Oreochromis niloticus: one gene and its partners. The protein of the gene in region 3 purifies or fractionates together with the protein of the main gene of each other region. This does not show direct contact. Links are inferred from orthologs where the notes say so. Each region holds a gene or a part of one and is shown on either strand. Other genes may lie near its edges. The genes, in order: kdr, rpl35a and ptpn6.

Evidence for each region.
Region 1: the proteins of ptpn6 (region 3) and kdr purify together in Homo sapiens (affinity purification with western blotting; 3 studies listed by BioGRID and IntAct, with this or other methods). This does not show direct contact. The link is inferred for Oreochromis niloticus from reciprocal best matches to the Homo sapiens genes PTPN6 and KDR.
Region 2: the proteins of ptpn6 (region 3) and rpl35a purify together in Homo sapiens (affinity purification with mass spectrometry; 3 studies listed by BioGRID and IntAct, with this or other methods). This does not show direct contact. The link is inferred for Oreochromis niloticus from reciprocal best matches to the Homo sapiens genes PTPN6 and RPL35A.

Annotation. Positions count from the first base shown.
Region 1 is NC_031986.2:37,676,604-37,684,420, reverse strand, and holds the start of kdr (vascular endothelial growth factor receptor 2), read left to right. Parts: upstream 1-4,801; 5' UTR 4,802-5,046; coding exon 5,047-5,113; intron 5,114-6,033; coding exon 6,034-6,127; intron 6,128-7,817. UniProt on the Homo sapiens protein: Tyrosine-protein kinase that acts as a cell-surface receptor for VEGFA, VEGFC and VEGFD. Plays an essential role in the regulation of angiogenesis, vascular development, vascular permeability, and embryonic hematopoiesis.
Region 2 is NC_031979.2:39,856,460-39,863,939, forward strand, and holds the start of rpl35a (large ribosomal subunit protein eL33), read left to right. Parts: upstream 1-4,455; 5' UTR 4,456-4,551; intron 4,552-5,461; 5' UTR 5,462-5,495; coding exon 5,496-5,506; intron 5,507-6,934; coding exon 6,935-7,087; intron 7,088-7,181; coding exon 7,182-7,326; intron 7,327-7,480.
Region 3 is NC_031976.2:23,272,390-23,279,939, forward strand, and holds the start of ptpn6 (tyrosine-protein phosphatase non-receptor type 6), read right to left. Parts: upstream 3,097-7,550; 5' UTR 3,082-3,096; coding exon 3,071-3,081; intron 1-3,070. Other genes in the region: chd4b (chromodomain-helicase-DNA-binding protein 4), read right to left, coding at 6,192-6,394. UniProt on the Homo sapiens protein: Tyrosine phosphatase enzyme that plays important roles in controlling immune signaling pathways and fundamental physiological processes such as hematopoiesis.

The DNA of each region.
Region 1 (7,817 bases), on a different chromosome or scaffold from region 3:
AATTCAAATTCAGTTTTCAAAAGCTTTCATTCAAGTTACAATTCAGATTCAATCCGAGTAATTCAAATTCAAATTTAACTTATTCAAATTCAGTTTCTGATGGCACAGATTTCTGCCCATAATATTAGGGCCATATTTATGTTAAGTAGTCCAAAGGCATATTCCAGTGTAAATGTTTAAGTTACAGTCATTCATTTAACATTTTTGCAATGGTTATTTAGTACATGATTGTTATGGATGTGTGATATAGTTATATAGTGTGTGAACTTATGGAAGTAAACAAACATGGGGACACTGATGACAGGACAGAGATGAAACAGAGATAGACTGGACACAAAGGGGGAACTAAAATCATAAAACAAGAAATCAACTATAATCAACTCAACATACTTAGGAAATAGAACATCATTTATGTTATACTTTCAAAGAAATCAACAAAAAATCCAGAACAAAACTCAAAATAATGTGTCAATGGCCCAGAACCGTGACAGCCATACAGAAGCAGCCATGCACCTGTGATATGGGGTATTGTAATTTTTCGTCCAGGAAAGACAAAAACCTGAACACAGGGTACAGGTTCAAAGTATAGATTCATTAGTTACACCTTACTAGGTGGTCCTCCTTTTACCTTCAGCACTCCCTTAGCTATTTTTGACATAGATTCAACTAGTGCTAGAGATCTGGGTCCATACTGACATGATAGCATCACACAGTTGTTGCAGATTTGTCAGCTGCCCATTTATGTTGCCAATCTCCTGGTTCAACACATATCAAAGAGCTACTGGAGTTAGATCTGGTGACTGTGGAGGCAGTTTCAGTACACTGTCACTGTCATGTTTAAGAAACCAGTTTGATTTGATTTGACTTTTGTGACATTGTGCTGGAACCAGCCATCAGAAGCCATCAACAAATTTCCCACGTGTGGGACTAATAAAGGTTATCTTATCTTATCTTAAGACAGTTCACTGTGATCATAAGGGAATGGACATTGTTATGGCTCCTGGCCTTGGAAGAAGTGAGCTAGCCTTCCTTCAAGCAAATTCAACCGTGACAAATTCAATCCCCCCAATTCAACCGTGACAACACCGACAGACGATTGGCTGTCTGGGAACCCGTGCTAGCCTTCCTGCATGTCAATTCGAATGTGACAATCCACACAGACAATTGGCTGCCTGAAGACCTGTGGTTTGCACCTCCAGGGAGAGAGATCAATCTGCAACCAATTGTGCACACCTGTGCCTTCAAAAGGGCTGAAGAACTTTCATTCAGGGGCTGCTGCTTTGAACTGAATGTGCAGTTTGCCCCACAGTCTGTGAGCCTAGCTTGTGAAACCCTGTTTAAGGTGTGGAATTTGTTTGAATAGCGTTTAGTCATGTTACAGCCCATGAGGCTAGCTTTAATTTCTACTTGTACATGAGCAAGTTATTTTTGTATTGGTTATTTGCCTTGTGGTTTGTAGTAAATGTCGCTATCGGTTTTCAGTTCTGAGTTTTTTTCTGTAAATAAAACTTTGTCTTAACTGATCTCCCTCGTGAGGGTCTCGTTTATGCCACCTTCCCTGTCCCCTAGCAAAACCGGGTCGTAACAGACATGTTCAGCAACAATTCTCAGGAAGGCTATGGTGTTTAAATGATGTTCAGTAAGTGCTAAGGAGCCCAGAATGTTTCATGAAAATATCCGCCATGCCATTACGTCACTCCAACCAGCCTGAACCATAAATGCATTTAGATCAAATTCTGATCCTACTGTCAAAATATGGCAGCAGAAATCAACCAGGCAACATTTTTCACATCTTTTGTTGTCCGATTTTGAGGCCTTGTTAGCCCTTCAGTTTCCCATTTCCTGTCCTAGCTGACAGGACTGCCACACATTGTGGTCTTCTGCTGCTGTGGTCCATCTGATTCAAAGTTCAACATATTCAAAGTTCATATAAGGAGATGCTCTTCTACATACTTGCATTGAGTGCTTTGAACAGCTGCTGTGTTGCTCAAACCAGTCTGACCATTCTCCCCTGACCTTTGTCATCAGCAAGACATTTTTTCCAGTGAACTGCTGCTCAGTGGATATCGGGGGGCATTCTATGTAAGTCCTGGGGAAGCTGGCCTGTGTATTTCAGAAACTGATGATCTGCTGGGAAAAGCTGAGCAGATCATCAGTTTCTGAAATACACAGACCAGCCTCTCTTATTCACAAACAACCAAAATCACTTAAATCAGCTTTCTGCCACATCTGATGCTCAGTTTGAACTTCAGTAGGTTGTAACATGTTTAAATGTCTGAGTACAATGGGCTGCTTCCATGTGATTGATTAGATATTTACTTGAACGAATGGTTGGACAGCTGTACCTAATTAAGTCACAGCTGACAACAGCTGACAGTCTTATACCATTAAGCTCACATTTTATCCATGTATCTCTTTTGTAGATTTTAGTTCAACAGTTTAATGGAGGACAAATTAGCAGTCGCTACTACTACTACTACTACTAATAATAATAATAATAACAAGTATTATTATTATGTTATTGTAATTTTACAGGAAAATTGCAAAATACAGTAAAATATTTTCTTCCACACAACCACACACTGCTCATTCTTTCCTCTCCTTTGCTCAAATGCTTTAAACTATGAAAACATTTCTCTTTGTCTGTGAGTGGGCCAGAGTTCAAAGCAATCACCTCTCTTTGGATTTAGAAAATAAACAGAGATAGAAAAATGGAAAAATGTTTCTGATTCCAGCTTTTCCAGAAGGGAATTCAGTGTAGACTGTCCTCCAGGAAATGATGGTTACAAGGCAGCTAGGCAGTTTAGTATTCAGAGAGTCCCAGTAGAAGTGACCAGGCCAGGAAACATGTGGATGCAGCGCATAACACACAGCCCTCAATCATCTCCCTCAACCCTCCTGAATCCACGCCAGCATCAAAACACAGCCTCCTCCCTCCTCATCAGATGAAGCACTACATTCATCACACGTTTGAAGTTCTGGAAAAATACAAAAATGGGACACAATCTGATGTTAATCAGTTCCAGGTATTACCTTTATCCCTTTCCTCTTTTCAAGGCAGCAGTCCTAATGTAAATGTCATTTGGGTTTGGTATAAGCTGCGCCCTGCTTTCCTGACATGTTTTTGGCACTGTCCCAGATTATCTGTTTCTTTTTCCAAACCTTAACAGATATCTTTGGGCAGGCAATGGAACCTGATCCACAGATATATTTGACCCTGTAAAAAGGCCCAGTCTGTGTCTCTAGTAAAGCTTAATACTTTGATTATTTTACAGCTGTAATTTATTTCCAAGTATTAAAAAGCTACCAGATCAGCATTGGAGGGACATTAGTCATTAGTTAGGTTTAGTCAGTCATACTGCATTTCACCATTACTGCTCCATTTTCAGCCTGTCCCAGGAACTGCAAACTTACATGAAAAAGCCTAAATAGCTTTTTTCTTTTTTTGTGAATAATCATGATGACTAAAATGCCCAAATTGTAACACAGTTGTTACATTACTTAATGTCTGTATTCAGGAATCATGAGATACTTTAAATTCACAGGTTATTAAGGTGACATTAATTCCAGAATTACATGAATTAATTAAACGGTTAATTAATTGTTCTATGAATATCTTAATATTGTTTTATTTGATTATAAAATATCGAGAATTTTTTTTAATGCATCTTCAAATTCATGATAATCAATGCAGTCTTTTGTTACACAGTTAGACAACACCATACTGTATTTGTAAAGAGGGGGACTTCGTATAGAAATGACATTAAAATCATATTTAACCAACATCCACGATATCCATTGTCTTTCTTTTAAGTTCACAAGCTGCAGCACACACAAAGGACATGTTTAAACATTTTTCTAATCGCCGAAGAATACGTTTTCAACTGCGTCTTTAATATAGCGATTTCAGCGCATGAATTAAACCTATTGTACTTTCCACTGTTTCTTGTATTTACAGTCCTCCCACCGAAAACACTGCGCCCAGATGAAAAGAATCGACTTTCCGGTTATGCACCAAAACTACATGCAGTAAGTTTCTGCCACGTGTTTGGCTGATTGAAGATTTGCGTTAGGGAACAGTTTAAAGGGTTTTCCTAACAAAGTGGCTGTTAAGCATAAGTAGCCAGAGAATCACCCAAAGCAACTCCGGCAGGATAAAAGTGTGGAGCAGTGTGATTGTATGGAAGTGCGTAGGGTCTGTTCGCAGGGAGATGTACGCCTCACCCGAAGTGTGCGCGTTTTAACTGTGTTCTAGAAGAAGCGTAAAAAAATATAAAATTATTCTCATTCAACCATAGTAACCTGTTTGTATAAAGGGGGTTGTAGCAATAGTGAATCTACAAGGAAACAAGAATTTAGTTATTATTAGGCCTCATGGCTTTGGTTCTCTGACCTATCATGCTAATGTTGCTTTAGGTCACATGGAGGCGAGAATAAGCAACTCTTGGGCTTCTTTCTACTTTTATGCAGGAGTGAAAACAGGTCCTTAACCCTAACTTATGAACACACGTTTTCTTAATGCTTTTGGTAATGGGATTTTCCTTTTAATAAATTTATAAATTTTATGATTATTACTACTCTAGGAGTCAAAGTTATGGTGTAAACATTTTTACGACTCCTCAGCAGGGGGTTATGCATCCTGGCTGTCACTAGTTCTTAAGTCTCCCAAGTTTCTCTCAAAGTTCAGTAAGTCCTCCCATCAACTGGGCAACAAGCCCAGAAGTTTATTGCAGGCAGCATTCGCCTTGGTAATTTTACAGAGAGTCAGAGAGAGAGACTCCTCCCCTGCAGGCAGGCTGCTCAGCCGAGGCGCGTCTCTCCATCCTCAGCCGCAACAGCTCCATGGGGACACGCACAGTCACACTTTAGCCACTGCTGATCACCATCCACTGCAGGCTGTTTTCATGACTTTCAAACTTTCTCTGGGGTGGAATATAAAACAGCTTTTTTTAATGGATTGGTAATGAGGCAGTAGGATTATCATTATTTCTACAGTTACGTTATTAATTGGACTTTGATGAGGACTTTGTCCTTGTCTTTTGTCGGATGATGGCGCAGACACTGTCCGTCATTCCACTACTGGGCATTATTCTGGAAATCACTTGTTTTGCTGGTAAGATAATAATATTATCCCCATTTAATCGTCTACCTTAATAGCGAATTAAGCTGAAAAACATGAATTATATTAGATTATGATCTAAGTTTGATCTTTTTTTTTCTTTTTCTTTTTTAAATCTGTCAACTCAAAGTCACCCTGCAGTTCTATAAAAGCTTTTGCCGCTTTTCTAAGACATTTCAAACACTTTGTCCTCAGTTGTTCTATAGTTTTAGTCTTTGCTGAATGTTTTCTGTCACTTTAGAACTGCAGTCCAGTTTGAGGATTAGAGGATAAACCTTCAAACATTTAAGCAAAAACATTTGAACTGTGGCCTGATGACTTGTTTTTATGTTGTAAAATGTAAACGTAAAAAGTAACTAGTTTCTGCTGATGTGCTACGTTGTTCAACAGTTTAAACTTTTTTTTCTTCTGAGATCATTAAGGCCCACTTCATCAGCTCAGCTCAACACTTAGTTTTTTCTTTTTTGTTTTTTTTGTTTTTTTCCATACAATGCATTATGTCCTTTAGGGCCTCACAGGGAGGTGGTGGGCAGGCTGTATCCTCAGAAACAGGAACCCCACCTAAGGCACACTGTGCTAGACTATTGAGCCTGACCCGGCCCATCTTCTCCTGCTTCCTGTTTTCACACAGCTCCGCCATTTGCTGCAGCAATGGAAAAAGGGCCCTATGTAGCCAGAGACTCAGATACAAAGCACATCTTATAATGGAGACTGTTTTTTCCTGTGCTCTACTTTCAGTTTTTACCTTGTGCCTTTTGATTTAATCTTAATCTTATGTGCATTTGTTTAAAACAGTAGGGCCATGATCTCTGAAACCTTCATTTAATCATTGTTTGTAGAGACTGATGTCATCACCCCGACTGTGTTAAAAGTTAGTCGTTGCTGTGACTGATTTGTACTGTTAATCTCTCCAGCAGCGGAACTGCGGTTTATATCTGATCCACCGACACTAAATATCTATGGCATCCATAGGATGAACAAATCTGACAGCCTTGAACTAACATGCAGGTATGTAAGACTATGCATACACCTTACAGAAGCTAGTGTTGGGGAAACTGGTTTAACAAACTTTTTACTTCACACCGAAAGATTTGCCAAACAGCAAAACTACCCTAGAACTTATTCATGCCCTCATCACATGCAGCAAATGTATGCGTGTCATTGTCTCTGTTCAAAAGGTGCCTGTGCAGTGTGGGTTCTCAAGAACTCCTCATATAAACAACATGAACATCTGACAGGAGTAACTGTATTTTACAGGAAGACCAAGTCAATAAATGAATAGGATTTAAGTAAAAACATGGCCATTTGATAACATTTTTTAAAAGTTAGGAATTTTTGGTGCTGGTATTCTTTGGCAGCTGTTCACTGGCAGGCTTGAAAAAAGACCTGGTTTTAGGCTTAATATTACAATTAAGGTAAGGTAAGGATTAGACATATACAGATGTGGCCAGGAGTTTCATCCTGGAGATGAATGTCATGCTAAGTTTTGGCTATTAATGATTACACAGCATTCATTTTTAATGATTAAAACAAAACAAAGATAAGGTGCACAATTTTTCAATTTATTTAGTCTTTTCTTTGATCCACACAGTCAAAAGTAAAAACATGCATGCTCAAATATATACGTTGAGTTAAATCTTTTAATAAGAGGTTCCGAAGGTTCTACAATGTCTTTTAACTTTACATGTCCAAGGCCTATTAACTTGTAATCATGATTGACTACAACTGGTAGTTTCGCTAGGCTAGCATAAAAGAGATTTATTTGACAACACTCATTGGACTGACCAAAACTCGGACCAATGGGAAAGCCCAAGGAACTTTGGATTTAAGATGGAGAAGTGTACATTTACACAAGTTTGGAAGGTATCTTGGAGTCATTTCTAAAAATCTGCAGTTTCCAAGATCATCAGTTCCAACAACTGTACATAAACACAAGTTATTAGGATGTGTGTGTGTTGGTTTAGGGTCTGGATGGCTTGAGGATAGAAGCTCTTCTTGAGTCTCTCTGTCCTTGCCCGGATGATGCGGAACCTTCTACCAGATTGTAGAAGTTGGAACAGTTTGTTGCCAGGGTGGGACGGGTCCTTCAGTATCTGCGTTGCTCTAGTCTGGCATCTCCTGGTGTAGGTGTCCTGAAGTGGGGGGAGAGCAATCCTGCAGCAGCGTTCTGCTGTACGGATCACTCTCTGGAGAGCTTTTTGGTCCTTCACACAGCTGTTCCCGAACCACGCTGTCATGTTCTGTGTGAGGATACTCTCCACAGCGCCTGTATAGAAGATCCTGAGGATCTTTGGAGAGACCCTGAACTTCCTTAGTTGTCGGAGGTGATACAGGCGCTGCCTAGCCTTCTTGGTCTGGACCTGAATGTGGGCAGCCCATGTCAGGTCTGAGGAGATGTGGACACCAAGATATTTGAAGGACTGCACCCTCTCCACTGGAGCTCCATTGATGAAAATGGGCTTGTAGTCTCTGTGCTGACTCCTTCTGAAGTCCACCACCAGCTCCTTGTAAAATGTATAGTTTACTAATTTTGCTAATGCAGTAACTAGCGTTCTTCCAGTGTAAACATTCAGCTTTTTCTATTGTCATAGCTCTGAAAATAAGTGTGTAGTTTCAGAGTTGTTCATGAAGTCATCTCTTCTTCCTGTGTTTCAGTAAAAGTAACTATGACTCAAAATTTATTAGCTTCATGCCTACA
Region 2 (7,480 bases), on a different chromosome or scaffold from region 3:
GATACTGACATTTCAAAAGTGTTCCGAAACTATTTTAACACGGCTAACTGGTAAAGAAAGCTAACACTAATGGTACTCTTATGTCGAGCTAACCACAGAGGGTAGCTAAGATGAAGTCAGGTGAAGGTAACAGCTTGTTTCTAATCTGAAAACAGTCGACGATGGCTTAGTTTATAGCATGATTGCTAAATGCTAATGTTACAGTATTGGGTTTGAGCATGCCCAGTACTGATATTGTCAAAGTAATTATTTATTTTTCCTTTTTGTTTTTGTTTTTTTTAAAGTTTATTTAGTTTTAGTTTTATTTATTTTTTTTTTATGCTTTTAGTTTTGCTTTAGGGGGCGGGGCCACTCTTCTGCCACTCATCCACCTGTGAGCTACTTGCTCACAGTTAATAATAGCCCAAAAGAAGCAGCGAGGGCAAAGTGTGGTTCGGTTCGGCTCTGTTCGTCTCCATCTTTCCTTATTATGGTGAACACTTTCATCTTGCCGCTGATGAAGAGGAGGATGTCTGAACCCTGAACTCTGAATGGCAGGATGTCGTCTCTGTATAGTTTTTACTAATGTCACTGTGGTTTAGGTCAATCATGTGACCTGGCTTTGTGATCACCTGATCGGACCTTTGTCACATGTACAGATGAGGGTGATCGGGTGGTTTCTGTTGCATGCTGGGACGTTTTTCACCTTGTAAAGGTGGCCCGACTGTTGTGTACAATTATATCCTGTAAATAGAAACGTACTGATGATGCTCTGTATATGAGGCCGAAACCTGGGTGTTACTATGACAACAGAGATGTTCGTGTTGCCATGGCAACCATGGGGGGGGGTTCTTCTCCTGTCAGTGAAGTAAGCAAACCGCTGCTGTACTGTAATTTTATTTATAAAAGTTTGTCCTGACAACAGTGATCAAAGCGATACCTGCTTAGCGTCTCACTCCAACTGGAGCTCCAAAAGGCTCCAACTGCACAAACACAGTCAGGAGGTGCAGTTCAGGTGAAGCAGACTGCTAGCAGCTGTAGCCGCCTGTGTCACCATCCACCTTTCAGTCAGAAGCCACGCCCCTAATAATGCAAACAGGTGTCATGAACGGGCCGGACAGTTTGTGTATCAGGCTGTAAACGTGTGTGGGGCTGACTCACTGCTGCCTCTGCTGGACATTAGAGGAACTGCAGCACAGTGAGCCTGCCGTCCTACAGTGGGCATGGCCTCTGTGTACAGTGATGTCACGTATCTGAGCTGCTGCTGCTTCACTGACCGGAGGAGAAGACTGTGTTTTTAATTTAAACTGTAAAGATGAGTAAAAGGGGCTGGTGCTGTGTTCAGGTGGCGTAGGACATCAGCATGCTGACACTACACTAAACACTTGCTGAAGTCTCAGCATGAGAGCACAACTTGAACAACCTGAATTATGACAAGCAGGCTGGGCCCCGCCCCCTGAACCACCTCCACCAATCAGCTCATCTTCAGTGGACTCACCTGAGACCTGAGTGAACCTGATGGGACAGGTGAGGCGGCTTAGAGGTTTCAGACAGGTGATGATGTACAAATGTTTTCTTCTTCAGGCGCTCGTCTTGTGGCAGCAGCGGGTCACGTAACGGGCTGTCAGATGGGCGGCTGTTTTTCCACTCGTGTGTTTTTGCTGTTTCAGTCATAAAATAAATATTATAATATGGCTTTGATGCTTTTATTGTGTCAACACCACACACAGGAAGTGGTGAAAAACATGTGGCCAAAAAACGAGAACGCCATCAGCTGATTGTGTTCATACTGTAAATGTTTCCTATGTTTTCTGTTTTTCTCTCCTTGGTGGTTTTTTGTGTTTCTGTGAATAAAGTAGAAATATTTGTCACAGATGAACGTCACGTCTGCAAGTCTGTTCCCGGGTCAGGGCGCTGGGACAGGAAGTGCCATCTAATATAATATAACACCGATTCATGACTGAAAGTATTCATGACTCCATTGGACGAGCTACGACGTGTCACATCAGGGCTGTTTATGAAGAACAGTCTGACTTTACATTCTTTAATGACACGCAGTGTGTGCTCCCATTGATGCTGCAGTGTCCTGGAGTGAGGGTGTTATTAAACAGCATGGTTTATTACAGTACGTGCAGCAGTGTCCTCACAGGAAGCTCTGAAGCCCCAGGTAACATGTTGCTTTAAACGGTGTCATATCATTCCTTATCAGACACAGTAATCACACCTCCCAAATCCTTGACTCTGAATTTCACATTTATTTAAATTCAGCTTTAATCCTAAAACTTCAAGCACTTTGGCAGCAGTGGAAAGGAAGAAACCTCCGGCAGAACCAGGCTCAGGGAGGGGCGGGGCCATCTGCTGCGACCGGTTGGGGTGAGGGAAGGAAGACAGGATAAAGACATGCTGTGGAAGAGAGAGATTAATGACAGGTGAGAACAGAGAGGGCACCATCATCAGCTCACTGGGTCATTGAAAGGTTCAGATGCTGGTCAGCTGGTAAGGAGCGATGGCCCAGCCCTGATGAAGATGATGTTGATGATGAAGGTCATCTGTTTAAGGAGTGAGGTGTTGATCAGACTTCACGTGTCAGTGGGCAGGCGTGTAACCTGAGCCTCACTCACCTGCTTCACTGTGAGACGAAGCAGAGCTCTGCTTTAATGTGAGGCTGTTCCAGCTCACAGCGCCCTCTGGTGGTGACCTGACTGCCAGCTCCATGGATCATCTTTCAATGTCGAGGTGTGAAACAGAGCTGATGATTTTAGCTGTTCCAAACGCTCTTGTGATGAAAGAGTGACTTTATGGTTTCCTCATTAATGAGTGTTTATTCATCATTATATTGAAGATGCAAGAGCCAGGGAAAGAAGCAGCTTTTACAAGACAACATAGGAGCAGTAAGAAGAAAAATATACATCACTGAAAACAATAAGAATATATAATGACATCATCTTGTTGTTATGGCAGCAGGTAACAAACAGACATCCCATCAGTTATTAGCTTGTGTGTGTGTGTGGAGATGGGAGCGGGGGGAGCTGCACAGTCTGCCATCATCATCATCATCATGACCATCTTAGATGATGACATGAGTGGAACCCCAAAGTGTGCTTTGATTGTAACAATGACATCAGGCTCCGCCCCCTGCACTACTGAACAAAACAAAGTATGAAAAGGAAAGGAAGAGCAAAACAGTAAAGGATATAAAAAGGTCAACATATACACATAAAGTAAAGCATTAGTTAAACAACAAAAACATATTGCACACAACAGCATCTGCTGGGTGGGATTTAGTGTTGTGGAGGCTATGAGACGGAAGCCGGGCCTCAGCCTGAGTTTCACTGCTCTGGTGTCTCCTGCTGATAGCGGCAGATGGAGCAGGTCGTAGCTGGAGATGAGGGCCTCTGCGTTCCTGAGGCAGTGGAGCCGTGCAGCTCTGCGTACACACAGGGGTGATAGCACCTCACGCTGTCGCTGGGCAGCCAAAGGACATCAGCAGTTTCTGGGGAATGGTGTTTGTTCCTGGGGTGACATCGGATAAGACTCAATCCTACTTCATAGTGCAGACCTCAGGTGTCTGCAGGTGAGACAGCTGATGGAGAAGCTCAGAGAAAACAGACTGTAATCAACGTTGGAGTTCTGGGTAAACAGGTAACGCTGCCGTTCAGACCAATCACCACACAGTCACAAGTCCGCCCTCTTATTGATACAATAAAGTCAAATATTTGTATTTTAATTCAATGTCATTTCAAATCAAATCACTTTTATTGTCACATCACATGTGCAGGTACACTGGTACAGTACATGCGAATGAAATTCTTGTGTGGAAGCTTCACAAGCAACAGAGGTGTGCAAAATACAAGAAACATAAGAGCAAGCAAAATATAAGAATGGGAATCTGAGTACAAATATATGTATATGCACATTACTGAATATGTATACTAAATATGTGTGTGTGTGTGTGTGTGTGTGTATACATATATATAAAATTAAATGAAAATAAAATATACAGAGGTGCAAAACAAGTGGCATTCATGTACAGTATGGAGTGCATAATGTTGAAGTTACGGTAAGTGAAGGTGAGGTGTCTATGAAGTGTTCAGCAGTCTGATGGCCTGTTGGAAAAAGCTGTCTCTCAGTCTGCTGGTTCAGGACCGGATACTGCAGAACCTCCTGCCTGATGGAAGTAGTCTGAACAGTTTATGGCCAGGGTGACTGAATAGGTTACATCATCATTATTATTATTATTATTATTATTATTATTATTATTATTATTATCATATTCAATAAAGCACGTTCATGCGGTGGATTTTGAAAATTAACTTTAAAAATATTACATTAACAAAGACAAAAACATGAAGCCATAAACATTTATTATTATTATTATTATTATTAACGTGTGTATTATGAAACTCTGTAAAAGTGTTTTTAATTGTTTCTTTGATTACATTAAAATCTAAAAATAAAATAAATAAAACGAGCCTTTCTATTCAGGCAGCTCCGTGGGCACCTCTGTTTACACTAATTTCCCAGCATCCCTTTCGCTCTTCCTTTTTCTCCTTCTCTTCGGACGCGGTGCAGGTACGAGTCAACATGTCCGCCGGCACATTCTTGAAAAATGCCCGTTAATCTGCTCGGTGGGCAACTGATAGTCCTCCGGGGGGCCGGAGCAGGAGCCCCGGCGCTGCTCGGTTAGTCTGTGTCTACGCTTGAGCTGCTGATGGCGGAGATTCGCTCCGGATAGAGAAGCTAGCCTCGGCTAACGAAGCTAGCCTCGGCTAACGAAGCTAGCCTCGGCTAACGAAGCGCAGGGCCGGGGTTAACCGAGCGGCTTCCGAGCTGCGCGTGCCGGCTCCCGCACACGTGCGGTAAGGAAAGCGTGTGTGGGAGCCCCGGTGCTCGCAGCGGGCTGGAGCTCCCCCGATAAACGCGTCAAACCTGAGGAGCCACCGGCCTGAGCTGTCTCCAATTCTCGTAGTTTCTCGTGAAATAATGAGACGGAAAGAGCCGAATGTTAGGTTAGGTTAGGTGCTGTATGAAGGGAGCCATCGGTTATCGATCAGTGACGGGCTGACCGCAGAATCACACGGATTCCAAACGGCACTGTTTCTGTGACAACCTCAGACACTTGACCTGTGGTCCAAGATGCCTCTGAATAAGTCACGTGACTTTTTACCTGGTAGCGTGGCACATGTTGATTCCACATAAAATGTTTTTTAAGAGCAGTAAATGCATCAGGTCACAGAACAGCATGCTCAGTGTTCCACTTGTAAGGTCATAGCTGACTAAACCTACCTACAGTTATCAGGGCCCGGCACTATAAAGTCGTATTATTGGTTGCCATGGTGATGTATCCTCCTGAAAACACTGCGGGTACAAAGTCTAGAGCTCAAGAAAACATGCTGGTTACCGGCGCCGTAGCTCTCATGAGCCGGTCGATCATGTGATGCTGCAGTAGGTTTTAGGTGTTAATGTGATTGTTTCTGTGCAGGTGAAGTCACCTGAAGAATACCACAACGACCAAGATGCCTGGAAGGTGAGTGCCAATCATTTCACTCTGTGCTCACATGATGTATGTCTGTGTGAGTGATGTAACCTGCTGAAGCTCTGAAACAGGTGAGGGCAGACGGGTGTTAACAGGAAGCGAGTTAACCGTGAGTGCAGAGCGACTTCCTGTCTGCTGTGCAGTGATTCTGGGATGGGTTTAATAAAGTTTTATTCAAACAGGCCGTGATCTGTCAGAGCTGCTGTTCCTCGCTGCAGAGACGCTGATGGTGATGATGTCATGGTTGGAGGTTCACAGATGGAGCGTTTTAGGCTGAAAAAGTACCTGTGTAAACGCAAAAAACAGGGAAACGCTGTCAAGAGCATGCCAAAGCAACAGGTGCCGATGTAATCCTAACATTGTTGAAATGTTGGCCAATCAGAAGCCTGGGAGGGAAAGAGTAAGCATAATTGCCGTTGTTGTAAACAGAGGGACAGTAACTCTGTGTAACAGCAGCAGTGTTTTGTTTCTGTCACTGTAGAAGTTCATCTCATGTGAACAGTAACGTGTCGCACACCTTTGATGTTGCGTGACTAAATCTGTTTTCCTCGTTCACACGTAAACACCTTAGAGTTGGGTCCTGGTTGCTATAGAAACAGTTGAGGGCGCTGTCAGCAGGTCGTTGCTGATGATCTGCGGAGCATGCAGGTGAAGCAGGTGCAGGGTCACGACCCCCGAGCCTCACAGATCGGAGGAGCAGGGTGAAATAACCACAGTGACATCAGCTGGTGGAGTGGGTCACGCTTTGGCTCTGATCAATGAGAACTGGAGTACTGATTGGTTGTTTTTGGATGCTGACAGCAGATAAATTAATACTTGATGTCATTGATCTTGATTGGTCTCAGTCCAGAGCGCCACAGGCCTCTGGGGGTCAGGTTCACCCGTGGCTCCTCCCACTCCAGCTTATTGACGATGTTGATCGTGTCAGCTGTTTCTGGGCTGATTGATCAGTCTGTTTACTGATCATTCTGCAGGTTTGATTGGCTTCAGATGTTTTAAGGTCTGCTGTGATGGGCAGTGTACATCTTTTATTTACAGGCTGTGGACTGGGAACGCCGAGTTTGGATTGGGGCTTTTATTCTGGGCTGTTGGCGTGAATCAGGAACTGAGCGGGTTAACGATGATGTCAAAGAAATACGGAGGGTAGCTTCGTTGTTGTGATTTATTTATTTCCCGCCTCCTGCGTTTGGCGACTGTGGCGTGCAGATTCTGCGTGTGATGGAAGTGTGAGCCGTGGCGGCGTGGATGCGCTCCATCAGCTGATGTCTGGGCAAAAAAGAAACACCATGCTTTGACGTTGGTGAAACCTTCGGTCGGGCTCGGTCTGGAGCGTGAGCAACTCTTTCCATTGGTCAGATTTGGGGGCGTGGCAGCAGGTGGTGGTGGTGATTTTGATGTCTGATGCTGTCTCTCTTTCAGACTGTGGAGTAAGGCCATCTTTGCGGGCTACAAGCGCGGCCTGAGGAACCAGCGCGAGCACACGGCGCTGCTAAAGCTTGAGGGCTGCTACAGCCGGGACGAAGTCGACTTCTACCTCGGCAAACGCTGCGCCTACGTCTACAAGGCCAAAAAGTGAGCTGCCGCACCGCCATCTTTCATTTACTGTTAAGGTTGGCGTGTTTCTAAGTGTGTGTGTGTGTGTGTGTGTGTGTGTGTGTGTGCGCAGGAACACGGTGACACCCGGCGGGAAGCCCAACAAGACCCGTGTGATCTGGGGGAAGGTGACCCGGGCGCACGGAAGCAGTGGGATGGTGCGAGCAAAGTTCAGCAGCAACCTGCCAGCCAAAGCCATCGGACACAGAGTCAGAGTGGTGAGTCACATGACCTCAACAGCTGGGGTCACGACCTCACAGACGCCTCTCTGCTGCTGCGGCGTTTCTGTGTTCTCTGCATGCTTCAGGAGCAAAAGTGCGAACTTTGACCTGCTCCGGCTCAGAGCGCCGTCTGAGCATGCTCGGTCCTGAA
Region 3 (7,550 bases):
ACACACACTTTGTCTTTGTACCGCCTCAGAGTGACAACAAGGATGTTTCCCAGATTTGGTCAGTCTGCTGAGTGTTGCAATGCATCAGTATGTTGCAATGCATCAAACTGTTTCTGTTTAGAGGAATTTACAGTACACGCACTTCTGCTCTGCTCATTAAAGGCCTGAAGAGCTAAGATAATATTAGTGATTGGTGACAGAAATTGTTCTTTTAGCCTCACAATCACAACTTCTTTGTTTCTAAAAGTGAAGAGTTGTTCCTCTCTCTTTTTGTATGTTTCAAACTAAATGCCACCGCTTTGATTGGGGAACAGTCGGGCAGCATTTAGGCTGCATTTCCTACCAAATATTGCTTTGAGCTTTTGCCTTTAGCGCTGCTTTAATTCTTAGTGGCATAGATTCAACAAGGTTCTGGAAACATTCCTCAGAGATTTTGGTCCATATTGATCTGACAGCATCACACAGTTGCTGCAGCTTTGTCAGCTGCTCATCCATGATGTGAACCTCTCATTCCAACACATCCCAAAGGTGCTCTATTGGATTGAGAGATGGTGACTGTGGAGGCCATTTGAGTACAGAAAACTCATTGTCATGCTCAAGAAACCAGTTGTGAGCTTTGTGACATGGCACATTATCCTGCTGGAAGCCGACATCAGAAGACGGGCACACTGGTCATAAAGGTCAGCAACAACACTCAGGTAAGCTATGGTGTTCATGCTCAGTTGGTATTAAGGGTCCAAAGTGTGCCAAGAATTAATCCCTGCATCATTACACCACAACAGCCACTTTAAATGTTGATACAAAGCACGATGGATCCATGCTCTCGGGCTGTTTACACCAAATTCTGACGATATCATCTGAATTTTGCAGCAGGAATAGAGACTCATCAGATGAGGCGACGTTTTTCTAATATTTCATTGTCTGGTTTTTGTGAGCCCATGTAAATCATAGCCTCAGTTTCCTGTTCTTAGCTGACAGGAGTGACAACTGGGTGTGGCCTTCTGCTGCTGCTGTAGCCTATCTGCTTCAAGGTTCAGCATGTTGTGCATTCAGAGATGCTGTTCTGTGGCTGTAATGAGTGGTTATTTGACCTACTGTTGCTTTTCTATGAGCTCAAAACAGTCTGTCCATTCTCTTCTAAGCTCTGACATTAACAAGGCACCACAGAGATGGTTGTGTGGGAAAATCACAATAGATCCAATAGTTTCTGAAATACTCAGATGAGCCTTCCTGATACCAACAACCAAACCATGTTCAAAGTCATTTAAATCACCTGTCTTCCTTGTTCTGATGCTCAGTTTGAACTTTAGCAGGTCATCTTGACCACATCTACATATAAGCTAATGCACTGAGCTGCTGCATTAAGAATTAATTAGACAGGTTTAGCTAATAAAGTATCTGGTGAGTGAATGTGTAGACTCTAATTTCCATATGTCTGTTACCTGATTTCCTAAAAAAAAAAAAAAATACTTTAAAAACAAAAGGCAAATCCCATTTGGACATGTTTGGATGTTTTCCAAGATTAATGACCCAATGCTTATTTTCCATATTATTACCCTTTATCTAACCAGGAAGTGACACTCTTGAAATAAAGAATCTCTTTTGTAAGAGTGTCATGCACTCATACAGGCAGGTTAAGGCACCCAGGGAGTTTTTCAATGCAAAGTAGAGAAAACCTGCATGACTAAGGGGGAAAATGCAAACTCTATACAGAAGTAATGCAAGTATGAGTGACAGGTAAGGGACTAAAGTGAGCAAATGTTTGAATACATTAGATCTGCTTTCAGAACTACACTGAATTATGACCTCCTTTTCTTCAGCCAAGCAAAAGTGAAGTCCAGAAGCCTGAGTTCAGTTATAAAGCCACCGCACAATATTTAAATCTTGCAACTACAATTCAAGACGCAGTGAATACTCGAGATATTTGCAGATCTGCTTTCAGCTACAATGCACCACAAAGACTGAAGGAAATCCAAACTGTCCTTAAACTACAGACTTTCACTCCCCTTGGGGATCTTGGAGCTTTATTACCTGTTTTTTCGGATTCGGACTGTGTTTTTTTTGTTCTCCCTGCTCATAATTTCCTGCTGTCATATCTCTGTTTCGCTTTTTTTGTTTTGTTTCCAAAGCTTACTGGTTAAATAAGTGTTTATAGCATATATATGAAAACGGCACTACAAACCACGATGTTCAGAAAAGACTTTTCCACCCACACTGTAACAACTGGAGTCATAAATGACAGAATCTACTCCATCAAATGATTCCAGTCGTATATTTAAAAGTGCCACTGGGATATTTTTAATCATGAATATGCCACCTGTCATGAATTTGTCGACTTCTCCGACAGCTTTTTGTATTTTTAATAGGACCATGTCCCTTTGCACTGCTTCCAAGCACTTTGCTTTCTATTGTGTGCCTTTCTCTTGTTTTGTATATATTCCTTTAGGCTGTATATATCTCTTCTGTTTGCCGTTTATTCCTGATTTTTTTACTATTTATATTTGTTTTTTGCTCCTGCACAGTTGGTGTGGAGCACCCGTTGTACATGTACAATGACAGTAAAGAGCTATTCTATCTATCCATTAGTGTGGCAATTTTTTAAACATTGTAATCTCTGACTTTACTGTAATTTTCCACTTATAATCATCACATTTTACTATTCTGCTGTGAACTAGCAGAATACTAACTACTGTTTATGCAAATACTCATAAAAATGATGGAAAACTATAATTAATTACATTAGGACAGAATATCTGTCATGGATTAGGGAAGCCGTATAGGTATAATAAGCACAAATAAAGCCATTTAAAAAAGCATTCTTGTATAAAATATTGTTTTAAAAAAGTTAGTAATTTTAGCATTTAACACTGCTTGGTGGTTTGAGGGTTAAGCATATCCTCCAAAGTCTTCAAAGAGACAGAAAAGAACAGACAAAGCATAAAAAGTAAAGTAGCAACAGTAGAAACAGGTAGAACAGAAGCTCAATTACAAAAAAAGGTTTTGCAAACACCTAAAAGCAGCAGCGGGAAAAGAAAATTAAATATTTGTCACATATGCACAAGAAACTTACCCACAAGACATTATGTGGACTCCACCCCCCCTTGCACTACGGCTAGTTTAGTCTGTACGAGGAAGTGATGGTTGGTTAAATCCCGATGATGAATATTCCTCCGCCACGGATCAGAGTAAAACTCACAGAGGGAATCAGGTTACTTTAACATTCAGCTCATGAATTTTGAGCGCAGGTTAAATCCCCTTTTTCCTTACACCCAGTCTCGCTCAAGTTTAGCCTTCCTCTCTGGCTCACTCTCTTTCATGATAAGATATCAGGCTTCATTACCGGCCCAGTAACCCTCCCGCCCTGTAATTTACTCCAATTTTCTTAATTAGGATTCTATCTGTGGAAGAAAATGTGCCTGTTCCTGCCCCGCTTCTTCTCTGCTCTTCCTCTAACAAACTCTTCCATACACAAATTCTCTCAGGTTTTTCCACCTCGCTGCATTTGCTTCCATGTAAATTCCACTTTGTCTTTCCAGGTTTGCATGCAAATTATGGCATGTTTTGTGTGCGAGAACAGTATCAGACTGTTCTGAACGTGCACTTTTTTTGTGCATGCAAACGTTACAAATTAAAGAAAAAACCTTCCTTAATGCAAGTTTTTTAACGCCCCTTTATAAAAAAATAAAAAGGAAAATAATAATCTATGACCATCTGAGCCACTTCGTGACAGCGCGGCTGAACATGTATGGCCAACTTCCTTTAAAATGGTCCCTGAACACCTTGAAACCTAACTTAGAAACAAGAGTGGATGTGTAGTAAGGCCTCTGCACATTTGACGATATGGATTATCGTGTAATTTTAGCATAAAATTCCCTCTAGAAGAAACTGACCATTTGTTTTTAGTTTCTCTAACATTTTGATTGTATTTCAATGATAACTTGAAGCTAAAACTGTATATAAAGGGTCACTTGATAAATAAGATATAACTTATCTGAATCATTTTCTTTTTTTGCTGATATTAACTCAAAATAAGGTTTAAAAAATCTCCTGGAAGTCACACCTCTTCCACCATCTTTCATTTCCCCCCAGGTTTCAGTTCAGGAGTGTTTTTTGGTTTTTTTTTAACTTCATTTATTTCTGTCTCATAACTAGTTTTACTAAAGACACAAACCTCATGGTGACCTTAGAGGAAAAAGCCAGGAGGGTATCTCGCAGTCTCATTCGCGTACACGCAACTTGCGCGTGCATGTTGGCAAACAGGACAGGGACACGCCCCCTTCCCCCCCAGAAAGAACACATGGCTGAAGAAAGTAATTTAAGGTCATTTTCAGTGTTACCTGTGTCTCTTTAAACGGGAAATAAATGAAATGTTACTTTATTTATTTCACCGAGGTTTAAGTAAATCAATCGTTTTATACTTTGCTGTGAGTTAAAGACCTTTGTTTGTGTCTAGCTGACGGTTTAATTGAAATATGTATGTTTACATTTTCTATGACAGCCGGGCATTCATCATCCATGCAGATGCGTCTTCTGAGGCACTGCTCAAAAAATTAAGGAAGCACTCGATCATCCCAGTACGACACGGCGTCAGTTAAACTTCAGGGAAATCAATCTGTCCTGTTAGGAAGCGTAACCAATGTGAACACGATACAGAGGTGGAGAGGCAACAATGTGTCAAAAATGTGCCATCCTTGAGAAGCTGGATTACCGATGAACCTAAAATAACTGCAGGTACAATCACCTCATGCTAACTGTCGTTGCAAGGAGACGCAAAAAAGCAAAACCAGAGAAAATTGAGTTTTCTGTGTATATATATATATATATATATATATAGTGTCAGTGGCCACTTTGTTGGGTAAATTTGTTAAACTGATTGTTTAAATTGAGATTCGAGTAGCATGTCTACAACTCTGGTTTTACTAAAAATGAACCTATGAATAACGTGTCTAGTGTCTAAATAAATTTTAACAGTAAACCACGCAGAGTTTGGCGTTGTCACTCTTCACAGAACTTGCCATCCCTTTAGTATCAACGCTCACATGGCTAGAAACAGAAGTAGAAGAATGCAGTGCTCAAGAAAAAAAGGAGAACCAAACGTATATAATCAGTTTAAAAATAAAACGTGGTAACAATAAGAAACTGTTGAGTTTTTTTTATTGTAGTCCATAAAAACAAACAGCAATGATAAAAACAACAGGGTGGTAACCATAATAATAATATTCAATAATGCAAAACAACATAACAATAGACAGTAAGAAATTAAATTAACTTAAGATTGCCATCAACCTCAACGCCATCCCATGTACCTAAAAAGCTGGGGAGCTATTGCGAGTTTGTATTACAGGAGACTTCCCATGAAGCAAATCTGTGGTGCAGTTAGGAATGTCAAGGTGCTGTTTGGGTTTGTGAGCACAAAGAGTTGATCCCCGACTGGGTCACCCGTCGGATCAGGCAAGAGTTTGAGAAGGACGGAAGAAGAGGTAACAGATCTGACTGACTGACTGATACAAAAGTGACAGTAACACCTTCTCAGTGTCGGGGCATTCTGCAGTAGAGATGCATGTCACTATGCCCTGTTTAACACACACATACATACAAGAAAACACACACACCTTCACTCTCCATACACACATACAGATGAGGACATTAGAGTTAAATGACTTCTAAAAAAACATACAAACAAAAATTTCACAATTTCCTAAAGGTGAAAACAAGCACAATAAAATCCCTTGAAGTCTGGAATAATCCAAAAGTTACCACAAAGCACCAGTATACTCCAAACATGCTGCTTTCCCTCCGGTCTAAGCCTCTTCTGCTTCATTATACATATAGTTACACACACATGTTAGATCCTGCTGGAAGGACAGGTCAGTTCAGTGTTCAGGACAGAGGGGTTCAATCTGATTCCCAGTGGAGGAGAAAGACGTCTGTATCTAGTCTGCCGCAAAGAAAGAGAACCGATTCTTACATTCGCTCCCACCCTACATCTACAGTCCCAGTCTTTTCAAAATAAAGTCCAGCAGCACAGCTGATGCTCTTCTGAGTCCGGAGATGGGTTGTGGGTGCAGAGGAAGAAGTACTAACCTGACTGTGCTGTACATGGTGGCTGAGGGGGAGGAATTCTGCTACATGGCGGTGAGGTGAGTGCGACTGGCCTCGTTTGGGGAGTGTGAAATGTGCGAGGGGATTGGTCAGCGCGGCACCTGCATCTGCTGTGCGGTCTGTGATTGGTTCTGAGCGGTGACCTCGGGGCCCCGGCTGGCCAATCGGCTGAGAATATTCCTCTCGGACATTTGTAGCCGCACGGCCACGGGGGGTATCCTGGCGATGGTAGCTGGGAGACGGGTGACGTCGGCCTTCATGTCGCTCAGCAGTTCCTCGAGCTGTTTGAGAACTAGAAATGCAGCACAGAAATCGGCATAACAGGGGTGAGCAGTCAAATTTTGGTTTTTGGTTAAAATTAACAGCGTGGCATGCCAAAAAGCAGCAGGGGACAGAAAACAGTAAGGATGGGTTTGTAAAACTTTAACAGGAATCTTCCTGTTAAAAGGAAGTTTTTCCTTCCCACTCTCGCCAAAGTGCTGGCTCATAGGGGGTCGTACGATTGTTGGGTTTTTCTCCGTATGTATTATCGTAGGGTCTATCTTACAATATAAAGCGCCTTGAGGCGACTGCTGTTGTGAATTGGCGCTGTGTAAATAAAATGGAATTGAACTGAATTAAATATGGAGCACAAGAGTTACACAGTATCTCTCCTTCAGTACCATTTGTAACATTTCACCAACACTCATAAAATAACGACAAATATAAACCTTACACATTTCCCAGATTGAGCTCTGTGTGAAATCAAGCTTGGAGGCAAAAGTGTCTCATCTCGTTCCAGGCCCATTAAAGATGCACTGAATCCATATTTGTGAGTTTATAAGGCTCTTTTTCCTGAATTTGAGACAGTTTACCTCTAGACAACAATGTAATTGTACAGTGTGGATGCAGGGGTTTTTTGCACTTGATGCTAATTTTTGTTTATGGCGGAAATGTCTGTTTATGTAAAGTAAAACAATACTGGTGATGAGTTAAAATATGATGGAATATAATGGAGTTTTTGGACAAATATTTACTACAGATTGAAATGCATTACCTACACAGCCCTTTTCTCAGTCAGAAAACGTACTCTGGTAATTGAAGCAATTGAAGCGGAACTTTTAAAGCACTGAAGAATGTCCAATATGTCTGCCTTAAAAAATTTCCAACGCTCCCTCTGTTTGTTTTTAAACAGCGTGTGTAGCTGAAGTTGTCTACTGTCAAACAACTCAAAAAACCATGACCCAGACATGAAAAAGCAATTATTCTAATCGTTGTAGTGCAGTTTTTCAAAATAACATAGAGAATTGAAAAATACAGAGAAAGCATTTCAAAAACCAGAGCACCAAAAGCAAAACACAAGAAAAAAAACACATTACTTTCACCATTTCATCACCACTGGATTGTGAAATAAATACATTTCTTCATCATTCATTCACTATTCAAATGACCTTTAAACATTACTGTTT